Elephas maximus indicus: one gene and its partners. The protein of the gene in region 3 interacts with the protein of the main gene of each other region in a pairwise test. Links are inferred from orthologs where the notes say so. Each region holds a gene or a part of one and is shown on either strand. Other genes may lie near its edges. The genes, in order: CRABP2, VDR and CCND3.

Region 1 (4,340 bases), on a different chromosome or scaffold from region 3:
ACCGGGGTCTCTCCCGCTCCCACCTGGGGCTCCGCAAGGAGCCGTACCCTCCCCCCTCCTTTGATCTCCCACTTCAAAGCCGCTCCCAGAGCTGCTTATTCCGCCCATTTTACGGCTCAGGACACCTGAGACCCTGCCCCGCCCCCTCTCTGGGCACTAGGTGGTAGCGCGGCGCGCCGGGCTCCTCGCCTTTGTCTCCACCTCCAGTCGCCGTCGCCTACCGCGACTCCCTCGGGGGTCTGGCAAGCGAAGCCACGCGGAAAGCGCCTTAATAAAGAGCTCGTGTCAAGTGATTGGCTGTGACCTCTGCCCTCCTCAGCCTTGCGCCCCGGGCTCCTGCTTAACCCTTCGATGTCCGGTCAGCGCGTTAAGAGGAATGAGTCACCCTGCTCGGATTTCCAGAGTCCGCAGGCGCAACCCCAGGCCGAACCCGTGTGCGGTTAGGGGAGGAAAGGGGTGAGAGAAAGCGTGCAGCCCCCTCGCAGCCCTTCGAGCCGTTCCAGCAGGGGGCGCCGTTGCCTCACCGGGTGCCTAACCCCGGAGCCCCAACGCTCCCCAGTCGGTCTCCGAATTAGGAGCTGACCCTTCGGACCCAGTTCAGGCTTCGGTGGAGCCGAAGTTCGACTGCTCATTCCCTTCCCCAGAGCCGGCATGAGGACCAGGGTTTTGCCCGCTCCCCGGCTGGTGGGGTCACTGGGTGCTCGGCGCCAACAAGTCGAGTGCACCGAGTCAGATTGGGGAAGGGTAGGGAACAGGCAAGACGTGTCCCTGTGGCCTGGGCTGCTGGACTTGGGACCCGGGAGCAAATGCCCCGATCCCGGCGCCTCCTCCACTCGGGCAATCGAAGTGCTCCCCCTGCCTCCACTTCCCTCCCTATTCACCCATTAGCGATGGAGCAAGCTATCTCGGCCCTTAGCGTGCCCTGGGTCCATCCAGGGGGCTAGATCCAGAAGGCAGGAGACTGAGGGTAATGCAGGGCCCGGGCTGAGGGCCCCCCGGGGGGGTGGGGTCGGGATGGGAGGCGGGGCCACCTCATTCCTGGGCAGGGGCGGGCCCCGTGCGGGGTATAAAAGCTGCCCGCGCGGGCGCCCGGGTCGGCTTTGGAGTTGTCCTGGGTCGTATCCAACTTGAGAGTCTCGCCATCCTGCGAAGGCGGCAACATCTATCTCTACTAGAGGACTGAGCATTCAGGGCTCCGGCCGAAGGACCTCGAGGGACCACCATTCGCCCCACCACCATGCCCAACTTCTCCGGCAACTGGAAGATCATTCGGTCGGAAAATTTCGAGGATTTACTCAAAGCGCTGGGTAAGGTTTCCGAACGCCGGGGAGGGGCAAGAGAGGCTCCAGAGTCCTCAGAGGTGGGATGAGAAAGAAAGAGGGATCAGATCAGGAGAGAGTGGGAGGCTGGGCGCCTGCATCCCCAAGAAAAGGGGCTGGACGCCTGGGTTCGGGGACACTGGGCCCCGATGCCTAAATCCTGCTTTTACCGGCGGGGAGTCCACCCGTGCCAGCTCCTGCGGTGACTCAGAGCTTGTGAATCAAGCAGAAACCAGAAGCACGAAGTCGGTTTCCCTGTAAGGTGAGGGGGCTAGCCTCTGGCGCCTTGGCCGGGCTGACCAGGAACACCTGGCTCTCAGAAGTTCAGAAGCTGCCACTGGGAGAGCCGCAAACCCTGCATCCAGGGTGAGAGCCTGGGTCTCTACCTACCTGAGCCCCTCAGAGACATTCTAGCCTGCTTCCCGGCATCCCGCTCCCCTCCTCCTACCCCAGTCCCAGCCAGGCACAGGTTCATTACCTCTCTGCACCCACCAAGTGATCCTGGCCCTAGCCCTAGATCCCCCTACATCCTTCCGCTCTTTCCACTTTGCCTACTCTCCCCACCTCCCACCCCCCACTCTGTGAGACAAATATTTTCTTGCAGGAGCAACCCCAGAGTCCCGAAGTCTCTCTGGATAATTATCACTTTCTTGGGTTTCAGCAAATGGCTTCGTGTAAAACCCCAACCCCCCCATTTCTGAAAATCCCAGTTTCCTCCTTTCTTTATCCCCAGAAACTAAGCTCCTGCCCAGCTGGGTACATTAGTCTGAAGGTAATAGAAGCTGAACCAGGGCTTCGAACCAGTTCCTTCTGGTTCAACTCCCTGCTGAGAATTTGAATTTCTACCCAGAGATTCTGATTCAGCATATCTGTGTGGGAAATTGAGCTGAACCATCCTAGACTGCCCTTCCAGCCTTCCAGACTTCTGGGGGTGGCAGGCTGGCTGAAGGATCTGGGGAGAGGGAGAAAGAACCAGGGTTCCATGACTGGAGAGATTGGTCTGGGAGGAGATGACGGTTGAACTATATTCAAGACACCCAGCAACTGGGAGGAGGGCCTGGGAGCCCTGGAACCTAAGGGTCACCCAGGGACCTTCCCATGGCTTTAATTTCTGGACTGGACAGAGAGACCCTGGTTGGGCCGGAGGGGCACCCTACGTGGGGCAGGGAGCTGGAGAAGCTTGTCTGGATGGAGGAAGGGTCTGGAAACGCTGTGGGTAGAGCTGTGATTTCCATTGTTCCTTGACACTGAGTTCTCCCTGCCATCAAACCATAATACATATTGCAGTCACGTCAGCCCTTGCTCTGCCTATTCTGAAATTAAAGACAAAAGGATAGAAATTTTCCCTTCAGAAAACCTAGATGCCACTCCCTCGTCCCCCATCTTCTCTGGATTCTGGCCCCTGTCCGCAGTGAATGAGGGTGTGGCCTGGCACACCCCCAGACCCCAGCTGGAGAGTAAGATTCAAAGCCTAACCCTGTTGTCTGTCTTCAGTCTGTTCGCCTCCCTGCAGGGTCCCTCGGAGCCACGTGCCCTCCTCAGGCCCTGCTCAGGGAGCAGATTGAAAACAGCCCTGTTAGACAAACACAGTCCTGAGTCAGCCAAGGCCAGCCGAGCCAGCCCCCCCGCCCCCCCCCCCCCCGCCATTCTACAGGCACCAGGGGCTGGCTGGAGGGATGTCCCCTCTGACTGCAGCCTCGCCTTCACAGGAATCTCAGTCTCCTCATTCCCATTTGTCCCATTGGAGGACCCCTCTCCTGACGAGGGATGCTCAGATATTTGGGGGATACCTGTCTCATCCAGTGTGGTGCTCATGGCACACACTGCTACTATAATAGGGAAGATGGATGTTAGATAGGAGGATGGACTTCACAGGCAGCAGAGAGTGAAGCAGTTCCTTTGCCCAAGAAGATGGAGTGGGGTATGTCTCCTTTACCAAGTCAGTGGGGCCTGGGCACCTGAGCAAGTTCTCCCTGGCCCCAAGAGATCAGTAGCCAAGAAGTGGAGTTCCTAGGTCTCCTGAGAGTCAGGGCTCCCCGTCCCTCTCCCTTGTGTCTGAAATATTTTTCACCCTGGGAGGACCAGGTGGGGGCCTAGCCAGGGCCAGGGGATCTGAGCCAGATCAGGAGCAGAGGAACCCCACTTGCCTGGCCCAGCCCAGCTTGGCCGTTTTCTCCCTACCTGTTGCTTCCCTGGAGGGTTCTGCTCCAGTTCAGGGCAGGAGGCCAGGCAAGGCGGGGGTGTGGAGCTTGGGCCTGGGCCTGGGCCAGAAGTGCTTCCCTACCTTCTGGTCTTCCAGCCACAGGGGCTGTCTCCTGTCTCCCACACCCATCCTAATAACTAGGGAACAGAGAAAAGGGGTCCAATCTGGGGGAGGGCATAGGGGGCACAGGGGCTCGGAGCCCACAGAGGGGGCCCACCTGAGGTGTAAGGTGGGAGGCAGTGTCCCTTTCTGTCCTTTCTTTGGGGCAGGAGGGGGTTCCCTTAAGAAGAGAAAGGCATGGGAGCCCTCCAGGAGCGCAGGTGAGCAGGAGTCTGATGCAGGGAGCTTTGAGCCCTAGCTTTGGCTTTCTCTTTGCCTTCCGTTTTGTCAGTAAAAATGATAGCAACAATAACAAGAAAGAGCCACTGTTCCTCAAGATCCTAAAGGTGTACCTGGCACATATGTGCTAGGTCCTAAACACACACCATCTCATTTGATAGGCATTTGAAAAAGGCTATTGTTTCATTTTTCAGTTGAAGAAACTAAGGCTCAGAGAGGTTAAACCATTTGCCCAGGGAGACCCAGCTGGTAAGGGGGCTGAGCCAGGAGGAAATCACAGTCTAATGGCTCTGACTCCAGAGAGTCTGGCTTCCCAGGCTGCTGGCCAGTCTATAGAGGCAAACAACTGCTCCATATCTTCACGTGCTGAGAATTTCTGCTCAACTACTAATCTAAAGATTGGCGGTTTGAATCCACCCAGTGATGCTGTAGAAGAAAGAAAGCTCTGGCAATCTGCTTCCATAAAGATTACAGCCAAG
Region 2 (4,340 bases), on a different chromosome or scaffold from region 3:
TAATGGGAAATCGGGGGAAGCATAACTAGAAGAGAGGCCCTTGTGGTTCAGAGCAACACTCAGGCTGGCTTCAGTCCAGGTGGATCCTCTCAGAACTGGACAGTGGTGGAGGGAAAGCCAGACAGCTCCTACCCATTCTGGGGCTCAGACCGTCTTGGTCTGGTGGGTTCTGCTTCCTGCCATCCTTCAGATGGCCTAGCACCATGCTGGGTACACAGGAGGCACTTAATAAAATCTTGTCATTTCCTTTCTTTCCTCTACCTGTTCCCAAAACAGACTTGCCGCAGTGACAAATGGAAAGTTGGAATCCTATACTTCTCCCTGTCCAGTAAAGAAGAGGGAAACACAAACTGGAAAGTCATCCTAGCTCAGACTTCCAGGTCTTCCTGTCTCTGCCTCTCCAACCACTAGCACATAACTGCTGAACAGTTGACAACAGGAGGGTTTCCAGCAGAAGCAGATCTCAGCCAGGCTGGTCGCTGCCTCCTTAGGATATGGGGTAAAGAAGTGAACAACTGGAACTCTCTTTCTTGTCTTAGGTAAACACTTGGCTCTGGCCCACTGGACCTAGGCCATCCCCTAAGCATGGAGCACACTGGCTCAGGACATTGGTTTTGGACTCTGGCTATTTGTTCAGGAGTGTGGGGGAATCCAGAAGGTCCTCTTAGAGTGTCCTCTGAGACTTAGTCCAAAAGAAGATCAATTCTAAGGCAGAACAGGGGAAGAAGACTGAGAAACCATAAACACAAATAATCAGGGCATCCCAAACAGCACCCAGACCTTCCACAATATTTATACCAATAAATTGTAATAGTCTTGGCTGAAAAGAAGTGAGGGATCAGGAGAGCTTCCTAACACCCTCTCTTTCCTTTTTTCTTACCCCACTCTCCAATCCTTCTTTTAACTTGGTTAGAGTCCAACTCATGGCTGATCAGAGACCAGCCAAACCTTAAGCCATGGGCCCCAGCCAGAGCACAGACTGTGAATTCCCCAGCGTTTTTTTTTTTTTTTTTTTTTTGCAGTTTGAGTCAGCCCACAGGCTGGTTGGCCTCCATGATCCTTCTCCAACGGGTCCAGAGAGCCCACTGAATGGGGGCAATGGACCCTGGGGCCCCTATTTCTGCCCAAGGATCTCTAACACCCAAAACAAAAGCCAGAGAGAAATTTACAGTCTTACTACCTCCTACTTTGGCTGTATGCCAGTCCAAACCCTATTCCAGAAAGATCCACCATCTCCTCCAGCACTTGGACATGGAAGGGCTGGGGCAGATCCCCAAAAACACAACACTCTCAGTTTGTAGAGTTGAGGCTCCAATGTCCAGTTAACCCAACTCCACCTCACCAAACCACTCCCAGTCCCTAGCCTGAGTTAAAACCTTTGTCAACACCTTGCTTTCCCTAGTCCCAGAACCTTCCCAATTCCCCCTGTATACCTACCTCACCAGCAGGGATGAGCAACTAACAAGGTCACTAGGCAGAAATGGAATGACAGTCTGGACAAGTCTGCAATGCTGGGATGCACCTCCTGATCCTGGGAGAATGAAAAAAAAAACTGTGGATTTGCCTCAAAGTCACAATCCCTTCACAACCAACTCTTTCTGGAATCAGAACATCCCATCGTCATTGCTGTGTTGGGTGTCTGAACCCCTGACCCCTTCAATAGCAGCCAACACCAGCCATGAGGATAATAGCTTTCCAGCAGGGAGCTGGAGCAGAGCTGAACTCTGCCCAGGAGAGCTTCTGCAATGCTCAGAAAATGCCTGCCCAACTGCTTGCCTGGGCTCTGGCCCCTCTGGCTGCAACTGAGCCCAGACAGGAGGCTGACTCACTCACCACACAGAGGAGGAGGAAGAGGAGGAGAAGGAGGAGGAGGTACAGGAAGAGCTTGGGCTCAGAGACCCAGGGCTCCCCTAGCCCAGGCAGCTGGGTCTCAGCCTCAGTGGTCTGGGGCGGGGGGGCGATGGTCACTGCCCCTGGAGACCACAGGCTGCTCTCTAGAAGATAGTTCCCCCTGGATGCTCCTCACCTACCACCCACAGATGTGGGACCCCTCACCTCCTTTAAGCAGAAACTACTCCCTGAGTTCCCTCCTCTATTAATGCTGGCCCTTGAGTGTCACTCACTCACCTATGGGCAAGCTCTCCTGAAACAATAAATCCAGTGCCCTAGGGCTAATTAGGTCTGAAATCATTAGTGGTTTACAAATAAAAAGTCAGGAAACGAAATGGAAAAAAAAAAAAAAAAGCCCTACTTAAAAGACCCAACCCCACAGCCACAGGTGACCGTAAGTGGGCCCAACGAGAGAATAAATAAGTCGACACACTCCACCCCCAGAAGTCCTTCGCACCATCGACAGCCAGTCTCTCCCTTTCTTGTTCCTTCACTCCACGCCAAGGCACCCGGGCAGAGGAAAGAAACAAATGTTTCTTGTTGCCCAAGTGCTGAGCACTGTGCTAGCGAGGCATTCTGCGTTCATCTGCCAGAGCACCGGGGCACCGAGGAGGTCCCCGCTGCCCTCGCCAGCTCGGCATGAACTTCAGTCAGCTCCTTCTTAGCCTTCAACGCCCCTCAGTGTCTCAGTCTCATGGCATCACAGCCCGGCTCTCAGTCTCCAAAGTGGCCCCTACTTAGACTTACGACTTAGACTCGAGGGCTTGCGCTCGGGCACTCAGGCTCCGGTACTCCCGACGTCCCGTCCCAGGGCCTAATCTCTATTCTGGGACCCCCTTCCACGCTGCTCCCGGGTCCGCACCTGGTCCCGCGGGTGGACACGCTGCTCAGCGATCGCCGCACCTCGGGTTCGGTGGCTGCCTTTTGACAAGCAGAGCCAGCCCAGCACCTGGCCCCGCCCATCGCGCAGGCCCCGCCCCCGGGCCAGGCCTGGTCCTTGGCCCCGCCCGCCGGTCCAGTCCTCTCTAGCCGAGAGCTGCATCTGCGCTGCAACCATCTTGACTTGGACTCAACCACTGCACTGTCGCCTTGGAGATTCTGCTGTCCTGTAGCCCTCCATGCCTGCTGTCCCAGGGCTAGGCATGCTTCCGTCCTCTGTGCCTGGGAGATGATTTTGGCAGTTGTGAATGCGTAGGTCCACGCTCATGCCTTCGACAATCTGGGATACATCGCACACATCTCCTCACCCCCTGCTTTGGTTCTGCCCGTCCTGTCACGGACGCCTCCTCCAGGTGCGTCCCCCGCTGCAGACACACCTGGGCTGACCTGGCCGGGAAGTCGTTGTCCTCCGTGAGACGCTGGGGGGCGCCTGCTGACGGGCTCCTACTGCTCTCTCTGCACTCGTGGGAAGTCCAGGGTGCCGCTCGCCGCCGAGCTACTTTCGCCGGGCGCCAGGGAGCTGGATCCGACTCCGCACACTGGAATCAAAGAGCGAACCGGGCCAAAGTGGAGCCCGGAGTTGCATCGTCACCCCATCCCATGTTCCACGGGAACCACGTTCCTGGCCCCTTGCGGATCTCCTCCACGCGGGCTTAATCTCAGCTTCCTCGGTCCCTGGTCCCCGGTGCCCCCTTCCCACCGCGACATTAGTGTGAAGCGGAGGGAGGAGGTGAAGAGTACATCCTCAGACCTGTGGCTGCGGGAAAATTAGAAGGCCTAGTGGCGCAGTGCTTAAGAGCTCAGGCTGCTAACCAAAAAGATGTGCCGTTCAAAGCTACCAGGCTCTCCTTGAAAACCCTATGGGGCAGTTCTACTCTGTCCTACAGGGTCGCTAAGAGTTGGAAACACTCGATGACAATGGGTTTTTGAGCTTGGAGAGAAAATTGGCATACAAGATTTTGATTTTAAAAAGTTTTTCTTTTTTTTGTAATTTTTGACCTTACAATTTACCCTCTGCTCTGCTTCTCTGACTATATGCTAGGCATTGCTCTAGGTGCAGAGGAGAGAAGTGTGGAAAGGACGTGGTTCCTTCAGTCTTAGAGCTCACTGTCTAGTGGAAGGAAGGGGAAACGGGAGGAATGTGTAAATAAATAGTAATTACCACACAATGTGCTATAACAAAGGAGCCCTAGTGCTTCAGTGGAAACCCTGGTGGCATAGTGGTTAAGTGCTTGGCTGCTAACCAAAAAGGTTGGCAGTTTGAATCCTCCAGGTGTTCCTTGGAAACTCTACGGGGCAGTTCTACTCTGTCCTATAGGGTCACTATGAGTCGGAATCAACTTGATGGCAACTTTTTTTTTTTTTTTAGTGGTGCAGTGGTTGCGAGTTTGACTGCTAACAAAAGAGGTCAGTGGTTCAAACTCACCAACCCCTCTGTGGGAGAAAGACTTGGCAGTCAGCTTCTATAAAGATTTACAGCCTTGGAAACCCTATGGGGCAGTTCTACCCTG
Region 3 (4,340 bases):
ACCAATCCCACTTCTGGTTGATTTTAAGTCCAGACGTATCTTTAATCCTTTCCTTTTCTCCATTTCCACTCCTACCATCCTGGTCTAAATTGTACCATATCTAACCTGGACTCCAGCAGTAGCCTTCTGACAGATCTCTCTGATCCATCCTTGCCCCCTCCAGTCTTCTCTCAATAGAGTAGCCCTCTACAGGCTCTTTGTTTCACTCAGAACAACTATCCAAGTCCTCACACTGCTCACAAGACCCTATTGTCATCTGCACCCCTCCCCATCTCCCACTCCTCTCTCACTCACTCTGCTCTGGCCATACTGGCCTCCTTGCTGTTTCTGGAACATACCGGGCATACATGTTCCCTTTGTCATCTGCTGTACCATCTGCCTGGAATGTTCTTCCCCCAGATATCCACATGGCCCACTCCCTCATTTCTTTCAGGTTTTAACTTAAAAGTTGCATTCCTCCTATAGTCTTTTCTGGCCACCCTGTCTACATTTTTAATGCTCCTGCTCCCCCAACCCCGCATTTGCTATGTCCTTTTATTTTTCTGCTTACCATGAATAATTAACACACTATATACTTTACTTACATATTCTGTTTATCGTTCGTCCCTCCCACCACCACCACCACCACCACAACAGAAGCTCCTGGAGGGTAAGGGTTTTTTCCTTCTGCCATATCACCAGAATGGTGCCTGGTTCATAGAAGGTGTTCAACAAATCTTTTTTGAATGAATCAATGGATGACTGGAACAAGAAAAAAAACTCAGCACAAGTCACATGATAAATGGCCATTCTGGTACGGTACGGGGGTCAGTGGGAGACGTGGGGGGCTGGGCACACTGGACAGTAGATGCTCCAGTCAAAGCCAGGAGGGGCTGCTCGCTCAGCCTGTGGCTGTCCTAAGTGTTGCCCTCTATTCCCCTTGTTTCCCAGAGAAAATATTTCTTAAAATATAACATCTCCATTACTTCAGTTAAAACAAACAAGCTCTGCACAAGCCACACACAATGTTCCATGGGCTGGATCTGACCTGTGGGGAGTATTTTGCAATCTCTAGCTCGTAAGTCGCTTATGAAAAGAAACCTCAGGTACTGGCTTCTAAACCTGCCAACTCTCTCCTCATAAAATTAGAACACACAACCTATATATTTACATGTTTACTTTTTCTCCCTTTTTCTGGTTGGATTCTGAATAAGTGAGGCTTTCCTGTTCTCTTATTCTGTCTGAGACTCCTGGTCCACAGCTAAAGGTGAGGTAAGTATCTGGGCCTCAGGTGTAGTAGATGGGTAACCTTCTTGAGCAAAACACCTGGCAAAAGAGAAATCCTCTTTGGGCTCTTAGCTGGGAAGCAAGGATCTCTCACTCTAGGGATGAAAAAGCCCTGGCATCGTTTCAGCACAGTGGCTAAATAAGTGAGCTCTGGAGTTGGGTTGATGCCCAGCTCTCCCATTTGCCAGCTGTGTGTTCTTGAGCCAGTGACTCAAGTTCTCTGTGTCCCAGGCTGCTCATCTGCAAAATAGGGATAGTAACAGCACCTACTTCACAGAGTGGTTGCGAGGATTAATATGGCAAAAGCACCCACAATAGCACTAAACCAAAAACCAAATCCACTGCCGCCGAGTCGATTCCAACTCATGCCAACCACGTGTGTTACAGAGTAGAACTGAACTACACAGGGTTTTCCTGGCTATAATCTTTACTGAAGCAGACTGCCAGGCCTTTCTTCTGTGGCACCAATGGATGGGTTCCAACCATCAACCTTTCCGTTAGTAGTCACATGCAAACCGTTTGTGCCATCCAGGGACCTACAATAGCACTAGGCCCATAACAATGCTCAGAAAAGGGAGCGGTGACCATTAATAGTTCATATGTATCAGGTGCTGTCCTTGCCCTGGGCTTCGGAGCAGAGACCCAAAGCCTCCCTGTTAAGAGCTGCCAGTCTAAAGTGGATGACTATGATGAGCCTGAACACGGAGAAATCCTGTAATTGTCACTAAGACATTAAGTTTTACTCACATGAAAAGATGCTCAACATTATTAGTCATTAAAAAAAAAAGTGTAAATCAAAACCACAATGAGATACCATTTCACACCCACTAGGATAACTATAATAAAAAAGACAGACAATAACAAATGTCACTGATGCTGGGAATATAAAATGGTACATCCCCTTTGGAAAACAGTCTGGCAGTTCCTCAAACAATGGAACTTAGAGTTAACATAAGACCCAGCAATTAAACTCTTAGGAAATTATCTAAGAGAAATAAAAACATATAGCCAGCCAAAAACTTGCACATGAATATTCATTAACAGCATTATGCATAACAGTCACAAAGTAGAAACAACCCCAGTGTCCATCAACTGATAAATGGATAAACACAATGTGGTATATCCATAGAGTAGAGTAAAAACCCAAACCCAGTGTAGAGTAGTACTGGGCAAAAAAAGGAATGAAGTAATGAAAAAAAAAGACACCAAATTTTTTGCCTGGGACTTCCCAGCACCCACCAGGGTTAGGGGAGCTGGTTTTTATGGGATGGAAACGATGGCTACACTGGGAGTGGTGGGAGTTGGTGGTCCTGGTCACCTGAAGTCCAGGAGGCAGCCCATGATGGAAGAAGTGGGACTGTAGGAACTCAGAGAGTAACTGGGGCATAGGGAGCAAGAGGCAGAAAGGGAGCATCCCGAAAAGCTTAGACAGTGGGGTCTGGAGTGGTGTGCCCCAACTATGGTACAACTCCCCATGGTAGTACACCAGAGAATTTCAAGTAGTAACAGTAATAAGTTACACTTGCTTAGTGCTTTCTCTGAGCCAGACATTGAGAACTTTACCACATTTACTTATTTAAGCCTCACAAAAACTCTATGAGGTATAGGTGCTATTTTACCCTCATATTACAGATGAGAAAAGAGAGACATGAACAGATTAGGTATCTCATCAAAAGCCATAGTTAGTAAATGGCTCTGTCTGAGTTTGGGCTGCCCCAACATAGACCCTGATACAAGGACTCCAGTGAAGTAGTTTACTTGGGAGGTAATTCCAGAAAGCACTGGAAGGGGAGTGAAGATATGAGACAGGAAGGGAAGGAAAGCCAGTAGAGAGTGCGTCATTAAGTAAGTTACCATGTGGGCAACTGGAGCTCAATCCTGCTGCGGAACTCTGGGAGACAATGAAGAACACATGTCTTGGAGTGCATTATTTAAAAAAAAAAAAATATATATATATATATATATATAATTTAGACTACCCATACCCATTGCTGTAGAGTCAATTCCAACTCATAGCAACCCTACGGGACAGAGTAGAACTGCCCCATAGGGTTTCCAAGACAGTTAATCCTTAGGGAAGCAGGCTGCCACATCTTTCTCCCACAGAGCAGTCAATGGATTTGAACTGCCAACCTTTTGGTTATCAGCTGAGCACTTAACCACTGTGCCACCAGAGCCACTTATAATTCAGGTTAAAGGGGAAAAAGTGACATGATCGCAACAACAGATACAGGAAAAGCATTTGATAAAACTCAACATCTGTGGATAAGAAAAACTCTTCACTAAGTACGGAGAGAAGGGAACTTCTTTAATATAAGACATCTACTAAAATCCTAAGGCAAATATCTTAGTGATGATACATGGAAAGTAAACCAGGCAAAGATCCGAACATGACAGGCCAGTGAACAGAACTTTCAGGACATTGGCAAAGGCTGGGAAAGACCAAGAGGTGCTGGTTCCTCCCTGACCAACCTGGCCAGTCCTTTCCTGGGACTAGCAAGGCTATCATCTTCCCATCCCACCCCTTTCTAGGCTTGTACATTTTTATGAATCGTTCCATCTTTCTTTAGAGTTCTCAGATTTTAAACCCTGGTGCCATCTTGGATTTCTCCCTTCTCTGGTTCCCTGTATCTAATCAGTTTCCTGGCCCCAAAAAATGACTCCCTGAAACTTACTTAGATCCCATCTTTCCTATTCCTCCATATGGCTCTTAGCAAATGTCTCAAAATTTGCCATCAAAGTAAACCCTTTACAACAGGGAAGGGGGAATGAATCTCTCTGAGAAATTCGGTAGCATAATCTAAAATTACCCTCTGCAAACCTGAAATTTATTTGAAGTCTAATATTCTGCCTTAGAAACTTATACAGGTTTCAGGCTCTTATCCATAATATAGCCACCATTATTTTAATGTAAAAATAATGGTTTAAATAACTTACAGCTAAAGGGAAACTGAATTCCACAAACCATGTTTATTGTATACACTGGCAGAAGGAATTTTAGGGGTTTTCAAACCCTAGTTTGAAAGGCCAGCCTACATTACTATTGCAAAAGCCTCCCAGAGAGCCGCCCAGTC

The links.
Region 1: the proteins of CCND3 (region 3) and CRABP2 interact in binary tests that used the Homo sapiens proteins (3 or more experiments, as listed by UniProt). The link is inferred for Elephas maximus indicus from reciprocal best matches to the Homo sapiens genes CCND3 and CRABP2.
Region 2: the proteins of CCND3 (region 3) and VDR interact in a two-hybrid assay, tested with the Homo sapiens proteins (2 studies listed by BioGRID and IntAct). The link is inferred for Elephas maximus indicus from reciprocal best matches to the Homo sapiens genes CCND3 and VDR.

The regions. Positions count from the first base shown.
Region 1 is NC_064821.1:194,450,356-194,454,695, reverse strand, and holds the start of CRABP2 (cellular retinoic acid-binding protein 2), read left to right. Parts: upstream 1-1,110; 5' UTR 1,111-1,237; coding exon 1,238-1,307; intron 1,308-4,340. UniProt on the Homo sapiens protein: Transports retinoic acid to the nucleus. Regulates the access of retinoic acid to the nuclear retinoic acid receptors.
Region 2 is NC_064822.1:102,721,164-102,725,503, forward strand, and holds the start of VDR (vitamin D3 receptor), read right to left. Parts: upstream 2,822-4,340; 5' UTR 2,638-2,821; intron 1,532-2,637; 5' UTR 1,438-1,531; intron 1-1,437.
Region 3 is NC_064819.1:106,379,037-106,383,376, forward strand, and holds the start of CCND3 (G1/S-specific cyclin-D3), read right to left. Parts: upstream 3,209-4,340; 5' UTR 1-3,208. UniProt on the Homo sapiens protein: Regulatory component of the cyclin D3-CDK4 (DC) complex that phosphorylates and inhibits members of the retinoblastoma (RB) protein family including RB1 and regulates the cell-cycle during G(1)/S transition.